2 linked regions of the Mus musculus genome follow. The protein of the gene in region 2 binds, or shares a complex with, the protein of the main gene of each other region. Links are inferred from orthologs where the notes say so. Each region holds a gene or a part of one and is shown on either strand. Other genes may lie near its edges.

Region 1 (6,008 bases), on a different chromosome or scaffold from region 2:
GCTCCGGAGAACACAAAGGAAGTTGACAAAATAGTGTTTGATGCTGGGTTTTTCAGAATCGAGAGCCCAGTGAAGTCATTCTCAGGTTTGTAGCTTTGCTGAGACTGAAGAGCGGTGTTTGGGCCAACTGGGGGCTGGAGTGAATGGTGGAGAGTGACTTTCCCATGAAAGAGCCCACACGCTGATGGCTAGAAGTGGGTTCTGTGCTGGCAAGCCTGCGTGCACATCAAATATTGAGACGAGTGCGGGCTTGTGCCTGTTCTCCAAGTGATGCCATAGCTGTCTCTGCCATGCAGTGCCAGTCTGTCTGTGAGGTTCCGAGACAAGCTGGGCTAGGGGTACAATGCAGAGGAAGCAGACCTGAGCCATCACACTTCCCTCAGCCATGCCCTTCTGCACGGGGGTTGAGGGAGTCATCTGTGCTGCTGTGTTTGAGATCCTTGGGGGCAAACTCAGCTTGACATATGGTTAGCAAGCACTTGTCCCTCCAGACATAGCCTCCTTTTCTGAAATCCTCTCTTTTTAGACAAGGCTTGGCTAAGTTTCCCAGGCTGTCCTTGGACTCACACAGGCCTGTAGCTTGCTGTCTGAGCCTCTGGAGAGGATGTGGTGTCGGGCTTGTGCCACCAGCCCCCACTGCGCATCCCTGTATTCAACAGTCTCCTGTACGCTACCCACGTGAGGTCATTCTCTTACCTCCTGCTAGGACTGTGGTTCTGGCAGCAGCTGCTCAAGTGCCATGTTGGAGGAAGCCGAGTATCTCAGCAGTTTATCTGTAATGCTTTCTTGTTCCCCTGTTCCCATGACTAGCCTATGTTTCAGCGGTGTTTGGTAACCATCTACAGCAGGATACAGCTGATGTCTCAACTTACCAGGAAAGACTCTCTTTTGACTCGGGGTTTCTCTGTGTGGCCCTTGCTGGTCACTATATAGACCAGGCTGGCGTCAAACTCACAGAGATCTCTTACCTCTTCCTAAGTGCTGAGATAAAGGTGTGCGCCGCCACTCCTCTGAGTCAACGCTCTTGACCCAAGCACTTGTTGCCTGCGTTAGCTAGGGATAGCCCACTTGCTAATTTACATTATACCTTCTAAAACATTCTTCCTGTAGAGGTGCACCTCTTCGTCTTTCTTTCTAAGTTTTAGTTTGATTTTATGTACCTTTACCTACACTTTGTCCACACCACGTGTGTGCCTGATGCCTGTGGAAGTCAGAGGAGAATATCAGATCCCCGGGACCTGGAGTTAGAGCTGTCGTGAAATATCACTAGGTGCTGGGAACCAAACCTGGCTCCTCCGGGAGAACAGCCAGTGTCCTTAACAACTGAGCCTCTCGGCAGCCTTTTGCATCATAGGCATGGCATATGAAAGCTAAGCACGGGCTAACGTGACGATCCTCTTGTCCCACAAAGCCCCTGGTACTGGACAGTAACAGATGTTGACAAGAGCAGGCTCTGTGCCTCCTCTCTGAACAGAGACTGGCCGGAAAGACTTGCTATGGGGCTTGTTCTTCTTATTTCCAGTCCTGTCTTCTGAACGTCGTTCTCAAAGATTTGGAACACCTCTGTCTGCCAGCAAAGTTGTGCCTGAGGGCAGGGCTGCAGGGGACCTTCTGAGACAGAAGATGCCACTGAAGAAGCCGGACCCTCAGAGCAGCAAGAGCGAGCATGTTGATCGGACGTTTTCAGATGGTCTTGAAAGCAGGTATCTCTTTCATGTGTACTGTGAGTTTAGTGGTATTGACGTGAGCTATCGTTCCATATGGTTAAGCTGGTAAAGTATATATATCAGCCGTATGTTTCTAATTAAACTTCACATGTAACCCTGTAACATGTGGGCAAGGCTTCCTCTTTTCTAAGGAAACAGACTTCAGATTTCAGGTTGGAACCAACTCTAGTGTTGGTAATCATAGCCACTCAGGGGCTGAGGTGGAAGGATTATTTCGCCAGCAGTTTGGAGCCAGCTTTAGCAACACTGCCTGTCTTAAAGCACCAGGACTGAAGTTGGTAAGTGGTCCTGATGCAATTGGCAGAAGTGTACCGTGCAGTACAAGGGAGAGAAGCAGTGTGGTATCCTCTGGTGAGAGAAAGTGCCCAGTGTGTGCAGACAACCTAGACATCGCTTTAGGTCATTAGCTAGCCAACCCTTAGAGTAGCCCTGCCAGGGACGGGGAGAGAAACTTAAGTGGTATCTTAATGAAGTTTAGCTTGTAGTTGCTCAAACTGATCCATTCTCTACACAATTGCATCAGCATAACCTAAGCTGTCCTTCCGGTGGCTCATAGATAAGTGTGCAGCTCATCTGAGGGGGAAGAGGAACCTTAAACAAGTAGGAAATTGTAATCTGATGTCTGGAGAAGATGTTGGACTTGTTATTAACCTGAAGTTTGAAAAATGTTAGCCGGGCAATGGTGGCGCACGCCTTTAATCCCAGCACTATAATGTCTTTTTAAACTTTTGATATATGCCAAAAGCATTTTCATCCTTTAGGGCCTCAAAAATGCTTTTGGTATTATAAAAATCTGTTTTGTAAGATATCAATTTATTATCATACTTTGTATAATTTATTATTAGACTTTATATAATTTATAGTTTATTATCTATATTAAGAAGACCTGTAATAGCAGTTGAGTCATATTGTTACTGGGGCCAGCAAGATAGCTCAGTGGGTCACTTGTTTTGCAAGCCTGTGGCCTTCACACACACACACACACACACACAGCTTTTTTAATGTTCATTTGCAAACGTTTACCAGAAGGCATCTTAAAACAACTTTGAACCAGGCAGTGGTGGTGCATAACTTTAATCCCAGTACCTGGAAGACAAAAGCAGGTGAATCTCTGAGTTCGAGGCCAGCCTGGTCTACAAAGTGAGTTCCAGGACAGCCTGGGCTACACAGAGAGACCCTGACTGGGAAAAGAAAAAAAAAAAACAAAACCAACTTTACAATAAGTTGATGTTTAAGATTCACTTTTATTTATGTGTGTGCGCTACACGTGTGTGGGTCCATGCAGGGGCAGAGGAGGACTTCAGATTTCCTGGAGCCTGACTTACAAGCAATTGTAAGTTGACCAATATGGGAACCAAACTCTCGTCCTCTGTAAAAGCAAAAACTCATCTCTCTGGAAGAGAATATTTTTAAAACAAACGTGAAGAAGTAAAATTTCATTCTGTTTAGTTACTTTGAATGTGTAGATTCACGCATGGGTGCTGTGGCGTGTGTGGAAGCCAGAGGGCGGCTTTCAGCAATCAGTTCTCTCCTCCTAACATTCGAGTGAGTTCCAGGGCTGAGCTCAGATCAGGCTTGGTGGCAGCTCCTTTACCTAGGAGAGATTATGACAGATGCATTGTCTCAATTTGTTTTTTATTAACATACAAATTAAGTGGGTTTGTTTGTGTCATCTTCATGGTTTTGGTTTTTGGTGGTCCTGGGATTGAACACAGAGCCTTCACATTCTGGGCAAGCACTCTGCCAGCCCTGTACTGTGTTCTTCTTTTCAATCACATCTTCATTTATATTTGTTCTGCCTCTGTGTTTGTGGGCACACACATACTCAGATCTAGTGTCTACTTACATTTATGATTAGAATATATTTAATGATGCTATCAAGTAAACGTAGCCAACTTGCTGGCATGGTAGCTCATTTGTAGTTCCAGCACTTAGGAAGCTGAGGCAGGAACATTGAGAAGCCAACCTGTCACACAGAGCACAGCAAAGCTGCCTACACAATTACTGAGCCGCTTTGCTTCAGGACTTGGCCTCACCCTGGCCTGTTCTGGTTATGTGGCTCTGGATCTAGCTGAGATTCAACATTGCAGGTGGAACGGTATTAGACTGAGTGATTGGCAAAGGAAGGGGCCTGTGAGCTTCCAGGACAAAAGGACATCATCTGTGTGGCCATCATACAATAGCTGTCTAGTCTGTATGGATCAACGGCTCCTGGGTCAGGCTCTGTGTTCAGCCCCGTTATGCAAACTAGTGGTCTCCATGCAGGATGGACAGCACAGGTCGGATGATTGTGATGTTTCATGATTGCTGTATAATACCACTGCTTGTTTCAGGTGCCACGTAGAAGACACCCCCTGTCCTGGAGAGCAAGATTCAAGTGACATAGAGCATGTAAGTCCTATTGCAAGGTAGTGGTAGGTAGCCAAGGGTGTCATCTGTTTATGTCAGGCGCTTACTGGAGACACTACAGGCAGAGTCGTCCTCGTTTGCATGTCCCTCAGGTTGTTTGCAGCCATGTTCTCTTTGTATTCTTCAGGCCACATCAAAATGTCTGCAGAACCAGAGAATTAGAGAATCCACGATCTTTGGCCTCTTTAAAGTTCTTTAAGAGTTATTTTATTTATGTGTGTTTTGCCTGCATGTATATCTATGCACTATGTGCATAGTCTCCTGGAATTACAGAAGGTTGTGAACTGCTGTGTGGGTGCTGGGAAGAGCAGCCAGTGCTCTTAACCACTGAACCATCTCTTGCCCTGGCCTTTATTTTTTATAACCAAACGTAATGATAACAATAGCTATACTCATCTGTGTACTGGAACCTTTTTACCCCAGAGTCCTGGGTAACACCAGGTCCAGTTTGCTCTTGTAATTGACCTTCTCTTTCTGAAACTGTGTGCCAGTCTCTGAGCTGAGTGTGGCGCTTGCAGAAAAGGTTGTCTTCATTACTGTGTTGTTTATGATGTACAGGTGGCCTGAAGCCAGACAGTGAAGCTCGGGCTGTTCCTTAGACTCTCTGTTTTGTTTTTTTCCAGATAGGGTTTTCCTGAGTAGCTCTGGCTGTCCTGGAACTTGCTCTGTAGACCAAGCTGACCTCAAGCTCAGAGAGCTCTGCCTGCCTCTGCCCCCTGAGTGCTGTCTTGCATGCTTTATATATTTCTTACTATGTCAGCCTTCTGCTTTTCATATATTTAATAGCAGTAAAACTTTTTTCATTTGTTCCAATTACGAGTGATTGGAATCTATAATGCCCACTTTTTTTTTTTAACTTTTTTACTAGGTATTTTCTTCATTTACATTTCAAATGCTATCCCAAAAGTCCCCCATACCCTCCCCCCCAACACACTCCCCTTCTCACCTACTCCCACTTCTTGGCCTTGTAATGCCCACTTTATGGGTGATTGGAATCTATAATGAGCACATTATATAATGAGCACTACTTTTTGCCTCTAGGATGTAAATAAAATAAATGTCAAGATGGATTGTTTCTCTGTTGAAACGAATTTGCCTCTTCCTGCTGGTGATGCTAATACCAATCAAAAAGAAGCAATCTCAGCTGTGGAAGGAGCGAGCTCTGCAGTCACCTCCCAGGATTTGCTGATGAGCAACCCTGAGACAAATACCTCCTCACAGAGCAACACCTCACAAGAAGAAGCTGAGGCGTCGCAGTCAGGTTAGGTCTTCTCAGATACAATGAAGCCTGGAAAACAGTACAGATGTAGATGGTTGTTGTAGAATTCTGAGAACCAGGTTCTCATGATGAGGGTTAAGCTATTAGAAGCTCACTATAACTATCTCCTACAAACTAGTTTCAGAATACTTTGTTCTTCAACCAGCTGTGAAGGGCCATGCTTATAATCCTAGCAAAAGAGAAGCCAAGACAGGAGGGTTACTCCTAGTTCAGGGCCAGCCTGTACTGCACGCAGTGTCCCAGGCCAGCAAGAGCAATGCAGCGAGACCTTGTTTCAAAATGGGAAGAAAAAGAAATGAAGTGATGCTTCAGAGAGCAATGCTGACCCACACTGGAGACGGGAGCCCTTGACAGTAGACCTGATCTGTTAGACTCAGAACTTCCCTCGGCTCTCTTCAGCCTCCATCCAGACGCTACCTTCAGAGTAGCCTGCTTTTCCCTTCTAATGCCTGTTGCTATGTACTATGTTGTGATTGTTCTATAAGGAAACGGGCCTCATATTTGTGTTACAATGCAATGGTGGTCTGTTTTCCTCACTATTCTGTAGGTCTGTCAGAGACCTGAGGTAAAATGAAATGTTAACAGCTGCACAG
Region 2 (6,710 bases):
TGATAACTCTGTAAAAATAGCTTCAAATTCATACCTTGACCATTTAGTACATGACCTCTTTTACTAAAACAGGGCAAACTAAAAGCCAGGGTGATGACTCATCCTTTGCAGCAGTCTGTTTGGATAAAAAAGTTACTTACACAGGATAGCAGGATTTGTTTTAGAGCTTATCAGGTTATCTATTTTAAGGTAGTGCTTAAAACCACGCCTTTTAGGTATAGCTTAGAAAACTTAGTGCCTCAGTGTTTGGGATTTCTTTTTTCTTTTTGGTTTTACATGATAGGGTTTCTCTGTGTAGCCCTGACTGTCCTGGAACTCACTCTGTAGACCCGGCTGGCCTCAGAGATCCGCCTGCCTCTGCCTCCCGAATGCTGGGATTACTGTGTTTGGGATTTCTAAACCAGGAACTGTCCTTTCCCCTGTCTCTGTCCTGCTGGAAATTTAGCCAGCACAATCTCATTATAATCATCTTTTATTACAGCAAATTACTGATCTTTAAGAGGCATGCCAGTTTGGAGCTGTTCTAGTTTGGGGGAACAAGGTCCTGCTATGTGGAACTCTAGATCTTCCTGCCTCAGAACCCTCCAGTGTGAGGATCACAGGTGAGCACCACAGTGTCCCCAGCATTGGGTAGCATTATCATTTACACTATTTTTCTCTTGGAAAAAAAAAGGGGGGGGGGCATTAACTGTTTAAGGTGCCTTTGCTGAGTGAAATCTGCTTAGTCATTTTAGTTGCTTTTACTGTTTTTCTCCAATACTGCCTTTCATATTTAGGCTGAGAGGAGAATCTGGCAGGCAAGGCAGCAGTCCTATTAATAAGCAGAATGATTTGGGATATCACCATCTACTTTTCTTCTTTCTAAATGATTTCTGAAAACAACTCATTCTTGAAATTTCTATGTGTGATGACAAAGCAGTCTCAGCGCACTTTTTGGTTAGGTATTCCACACCAAGGAAGTAAAATCAACTGCTCTGGGGATTTGAAATGTCCTTTCATGCAGGGTCTGTATGAAAATACAAGGCCCTTGTCAATAAATTGAAATGTGGTGATCTGTTCATGGTGAAGCTCTTACATCCCAAATTCTGAGATTGAAAGTGCAATTCTATTAAGCTACTGACATTTCTGTAATAAAACAGTAACTCCCTTAGGATTTTAATTTAAAATTTGCCCACCTCTAGAAAAGGACAAAGTCTTATGAAAACAATCTTTTCAAACATTGCAGGACAGGGCACATTCAAGTGCTTAAGTGAAATTATGTAAACACAAAACATCCTAAATATGGTGGCAAGGCTCTTCTTCAAGGGTCTGTTGTCTGCCTTCTCACTTGCCTGGTTCTCCTCTCAGCCCAGATATGAAAGGCAGTATTTGGGGGGAATACTAAACGCAACTGAAATGACTAAGCAGATTTCTCTAAGCAAAACCGCTTACGCAAAATTATTGTACACCCAGTGGTTGTCTTATGTTCTTTAGGTTGAAAGGGGCATTGAAAGTAATTTCCTCAAGAACTTTCAGGGGGATTAAGACGAACTATGTGGAAATGAACTCTCTAAATCTTCCTTATATTGGTGCTATTGTGAGACATTACACCTTACACTTTAGCAAGAGCTCTGGGGCGGCTATTAATCGCTAATGAATGCTGCAGATAGCTTACTGCTGTAGGAAGGCAAGGTGCTCCGGTTTTGAAGGGCTTATTACATCGCCCACCCTGTAACTACAGGTAATGGTCCTACTACCATGTATGACTAACAGTCAATCCCTCAGCTCCAAGACAGCCCCTGAGGTTTCTTTCCCTAGCCATCCTTTGATCTACATCTTTTAAGCTTTTTCCTGTGGCCGAACCCTCCAGTTCTCGAAGGCCAAACTGATCTCTACACTAGGCTGATCTAAGTCCACCAAAATGTCCGCGGAAGCGCTCTCCAGGGGCCAGCAGGAGATTCTTCTCCCATGGCCTTCCCTGTCCTTTGAGATGGTTTATCTGAGGATCTCGAGGAGCCATCCGGCTCTCCTGGCGTCAGAAGGGCGTGCGTCAGGGCAAGGAAGCTTGCAGCTCAGTACGGTCCCCCTCCCTGAGGTGTCAGCAACCACCCACTGCGCGAAACCAGGCGGGGGAGGCGCGCCGCAGCCAGCCGCCCGAGGAGCTCTGCGGCGGGGCCGTTTCCCTTAGTCACCGCGGCACCCACGCCGCGGCCTTCTCCTCAGGCACTCGGTGTCCTCACGCCCAGGCCGCCACGCCGGCAGGGGGCTCAACCGCCACCTCCTCCCCAGGAGCAGCGGCCAGTATCTTGCCTCTCGCCCTCCACTCTGGCAGCCTTCAACCGACCCTTCCCTACCCGCATCACGTGCACCGGGAAGTGCGTGGGTGGGTCTTACAGCGCCTACGGAAATGACGTAGTTCGCCCCGAGTCGCATGATGTGGCAAAATGTTAAAAAAAAAAAAAAGTGGGAGGGGGGAGGGGAGAAGGGAGAAACCGGAGCCTGGGGAAAGTGATGAGTCTAGAAAAAGTAGTCCCTCGGTTCCTCTGTTTCCCCGCAGCCGCATCAGCGAAGAGCGCTCCGCGCACTGCGTCCCTGAATCCCTACGCCCGACCGCGGCGCGGCGTCTGTGGAAGGCTACATAAGGCGGACGGCGTGAGGAGACTGGGCGGAGTTCTGCCTCGGGATCCTTCCGCAGGGCTCAGCCGTTTCCGGAGTCTGCGCTGCTCCCGGTTCCGCCATTGCGGCTCTCCCGGCCCCTGGAGCCTCCGCCCCCGACCCAAGCTCTCTCGTCTGCCTGCCAGTTCCCTGCGTCCCCGGAGAGTATCCCTCTGAGCCCAGCCTCCCCTCCCCTTCCCCGTCTCCTCCTCTCCCTTGGAGAGCCCGGGCAGGCACTGCCCTGCAGCCCCAGTGACAGGAGGAGACCATACTCCCCGACAGCGCCATGGCCCAGATTCTGCCCATTCGCTTTCAGGAGCATCTCCAGGTACGTGTGAGTCGGGGCTGCTGAGGGACTTTTCGAGGGTCGTGGGAAGGAAGAAGCTAGCGGCCTGGCCCGAAAGGGATCGAGAGAAGGGGAGTGGGGGGTGTCGGTATTTGGCATAGGTGGAGGAAGGACAGTGTCTTAAAAGCTTAAAGGGTTAAATGATATGAGACTAGGATGGAAATGACGAATCGGAGTGCAAAGGGCGGCGAGGCCAGGCCTTACGTCTGACGACCTCTTATTCTGCTTCCTGGATTGCAAGAACTGCGCATACCAGACCCCCCTTCCCATTTTACTCAGTTCATTCATTTGGGTAGGGGCTAGGTGGGGGAGCTTCTCGCGCGTTTCTCCCAGAGCAAGATTTCTCGTTAACCCTGAGCGACGCGGGGCTGTCACCTTCCCTTGGTCTATTCCCATTTCTACATCGAGTCTGCACCCAGGAATTGTGTGGCGGGTGGGTTGGGGAGGAGCTGCATCCTCCCTCTGCAGCTCACCACTGAGAAAGGCACCTTGGGGTTAGGGTAGCAGTGGCTCGTGGCTTGCCTTCCCTGAATCTATAAGGAACCGAAGGTCACACTCACTGAAGGAACAGAAAGAAGATAGAGGGGCGGCAAGGGGCGGTGTCAGTCTCGGTGCCTGGGGTCAAGGTCCCAAGGGGAACGCGCATATTTTTCCTTTCTTGGTTTCTTCAGAGGGTTAGTGTAGCTCTTAGGCTCACTTTGATTCTTGCAGGTAGGGAGAGTTATTTAGAGGTTATTTATGGCCTTTTGGAATTTAGCAGGTAGTTGTGGGATTACGGCAGGAGTATGTCTCACAGGACTGCGTGGAATTCATCAGAGCCGGGTTTAAGTGCATACCTGCTCTGTGTCAGTACCTAACAAGTTGATCTGTAACTGGCTCCTTTTTAATAGTCTGGGGCGTCCCCCCTCCGCCCCCCACTGCACCTTATCCTGGAGTCAATACACCATTGTCTAACCTGGCAACCTGCCAGCAGTTGGCCTAGGCAGGTGACTGTTGGAGGGCTTCGCTGAATTACGCTTCTTCTGAACTGCTGATTTTCCTGGTTCACTTGTCCCGACTCTTTGACATCATAATTTATTCATATTAATTTACTTTCCCTCAAGTATCCCCATAAAGAAATCTGCTTTCAGCTGCATCTTCTGAAGGGCTAATTTCATGAGGGGGAGGTGCAGTGATCCAGTTCAAATATTGGTAACTTATTGAGTGCTTTATCATTGAAGGCAATCTGATTTACTTTTCTTCATTGATATACATAAAAGATGTTTGATAATAAAGAGGGTTAACTAAAATTTAGCACCAAGTAAAATAATTAAATATTTCTTTATAGACTTTACCGTGTTGCTAACATTAACGAATTATTTTACTTTAGGACTTCTTTGCCCATTAAATGACTTGAATACATTTTCTTCAGTCATCACTAGTTTTCAAATAATTCATCTGATTTTGGCAATAAGATCTCTATTTTGTAAAGGTCTGAAAAATGTCAAGTGACAATGCTGACAGAGAAGTTAATTTTTGTTCTCAATTCAAGCTTGAGTTTCCTCTGTTAAGAATATAAAGTGTTAGGAAAGCACTGTTCTGGATGTTAGTGGACAGTGGGCTCTTCAGGCTGAGTTAAGAGGGAGGCAGCCTGTGTACACTAACAACAGAAAAAAATCTAGCTTTAATTAATTGCTTGCTTTAATTAATTTGACCATGATTTGGGTTGCTGTTTTTTCTTCTCCCATCTTTGGGATTAACACTTGGCCACACTGAAGTTACCAGAAATAGCTTTCTGCAAATATGTGTATAAACCTTACACAAAAGAAGCAAAGACAACTGCTGATGACATGACCGTTGCTGGTGATTTGAGTAATAGTTTTTCATTTCTATTAAACTCAAGACCAGAATTGTTGAATGGTCTTACAGACTGGAATCCAAACTTGTCACTAATTAAAAACAGATTTAATGCAGGTGTGGCATGTGAGTAGCAATTTCTGCAAATATTTGAAACTGTTTTCCAAAATTTAAAGATTTTGAATATTTATAAAATAGCTTTACAGATACACTTGAAGATCTCGGATGCTTATTTTCTGGAGGACCTCATTACACTTTAGGCTTTGGCTGGTAGGATCCCACTCTAGTAGATAGAGTCAGGTGTGCCGAAAGGATAATGTATCTTCTGATCTCAGACTTTTATTCCCTCTCTTTTAACAAACAAACATACAGTGTAAGGATTATTCCAGTTGTCATCTTAAGTCTTTGATTGCCCAGCCTCTGCCATTCTGCTTAGAAAACAACTTTCTAAAGCATTTAGGAGAACTGGGAAGTAAGGAGTGTAGAGTTCACTTGTGAAAGTTAACAGCAAACTCTAAATTAATTTATTTTAAACTTTTTATGAGAATGTTGCAAATAAAAAATTGCTATTTATTTTCATATCCCTTTGTGCATTTGTTTAGATGAAGATCTGTCATCAAGGCTTGGAACTATATCACATAATTTTGATATTTTATGTGATGAAGGAATTTTTGTTGAGTTGCAGATTCTGAACAAATTCTAGGCTGCAGAACTCAGAAAGTTCAGTGCCAGCCAGCAAAACCCTGTCTCAAAGGACAAAACAACAAAACCCCACTGCCTGCAATTTTCAGTTCCTGGCATATTAAGCATTTTGCAATTGACACATTTTGTTGAGCATTTGGATACTTTTAATTTTCATTTACAAATCTTTCCACCCCGTTCTTCTCTCTTTGATCCATAAACACAGACATGCAATGTGTTGCTGAGTTGAATAGTAGGATTCTTAAGAAGGTTTTGGTTTCAAAGAGAAAGCAGTAATAGATGCTTAGGAAGACTAGAAGAGCATGCCACCTGGAAGTAGACTCTAATCTACCGTGGAAATAGTTTAAATGAAGACCGATTCCCTCCCCCCCCACCCCCCCCAGAATTTTCTTAAAGGTTAGTTTACTCAGCTTTAAGGAGTTTGGCCAATTTTAATGAAAATACTTGTGCCCTGTTTGGGATTATACTTTAAGGTATGCAAAACTATGGTTTTCACTTTAAAGTCTTGGGAACTTGGGTAGTGTGCTGTTGGGACAGTTGTTTCTGATAAGTGAGGGCTAGAGAGTGAGGAGGAGAGCAGTCCAACTTCTGTTGTGTGCTGTGTCCTCACTCAGCCCTTGGTCCTGTCTCACATTAACAGTGGAAGACTAAGGCTGGAGGCCGTACTCAGGGGCCATAGTCAGAATGGGGTTTGGATCGCCTCTTCTGTTTTTAAGACAGAGTCTTAACTATATCGCACTGTCTGGTCTGAAACTTACTATGTATAACAGGATGGCTTTGAACTGAGATCTGCTTGCCTCTGGCTCCAGCGTGCTGGAATTATTGCATATTCCATCACACCTGACCATAAATCATATTTTAAAGACAGTGTCTTGCTAATGTTGCCCAGAGTGGATTCAGATTCAAAATCCTCTTGCTTCTCAGCCTCTTGAGTGCCGGGGTTCTAGGCCTGCATCATCATGCCCTGCTGCAGTGATTGCCTTTAAGAGATGCTACAAGGGACCAGAGAGGTGCTCTGTGCTTAAGAGCGACTGTTAACTCTTCCTGAGCACCTGGGTTTGGTTCCCATCACATACAGACAACTCCTCATCTCCTGTAACTCCAGTTCCAGGGGCTCTTCAGTCCTCCAAGGATACCAGGCACACATGTAGCACACATAGGTATATGCAGGCAAAATTCTCATGTACATAAA

Evidence for each region. Proteins that work in one complex are often made in the same cells at the same time.
Region 1: the proteins of Cltc (region 2) and Dlgap5 are in contact, whole or in part, in a crystal structure (PDB 7ZX4), measured with the Homo sapiens proteins. The link is inferred for Mus musculus from reciprocal best matches to the Homo sapiens genes CLTC and DLGAP5. Residues at the interface, in NP_004850.1 of Homo sapiens: Val50, Arg64, Pro65, Ile66, Ser67, Ala68, Leu82, Lys83, Ala84, Thr87, Gln89, Phe91, Ile93, Lys96, Ser97, Lys98; in NP_055565.3 of Homo sapiens: Gly833, Asn834, Leu835, Ile836, Thr837, Phe838, Ser839, Pro840, Leu841.

What each region holds. Positions count from the first base shown.
Region 1 is NC_000080.6:47,389,832-47,395,839, reverse strand, and holds part of Dlgap5 (disks large-associated protein 5), read left to right. Parts: coding exon 1-85; intron 86-1,522; coding exon 1,523-1,703; intron 1,704-4,060; coding exon 4,061-4,118; intron 4,119-5,177; coding exon 5,178-5,397; intron 5,398-6,008. UniProt on the Homo sapiens protein: Potential cell cycle regulator that may play a role in carcinogenesis of cancer cells. Mitotic phosphoprotein regulated by the ubiquitin-proteasome pathway.
Region 2 is NC_000077.6:86,753,500-86,760,209, reverse strand, and holds the start of Cltc (clathrin heavy chain 1), read left to right. Parts: upstream 1-2,642; 5' UTR 2,643-2,920; coding exon 2,921-2,962; intron 2,963-6,710. UniProt on the Homo sapiens protein: Clathrin is the major protein of the polyhedral coat of coated pits and vesicles. Two different adapter protein complexes link the clathrin lattice either to the plasma membrane or to the trans-Golgi network.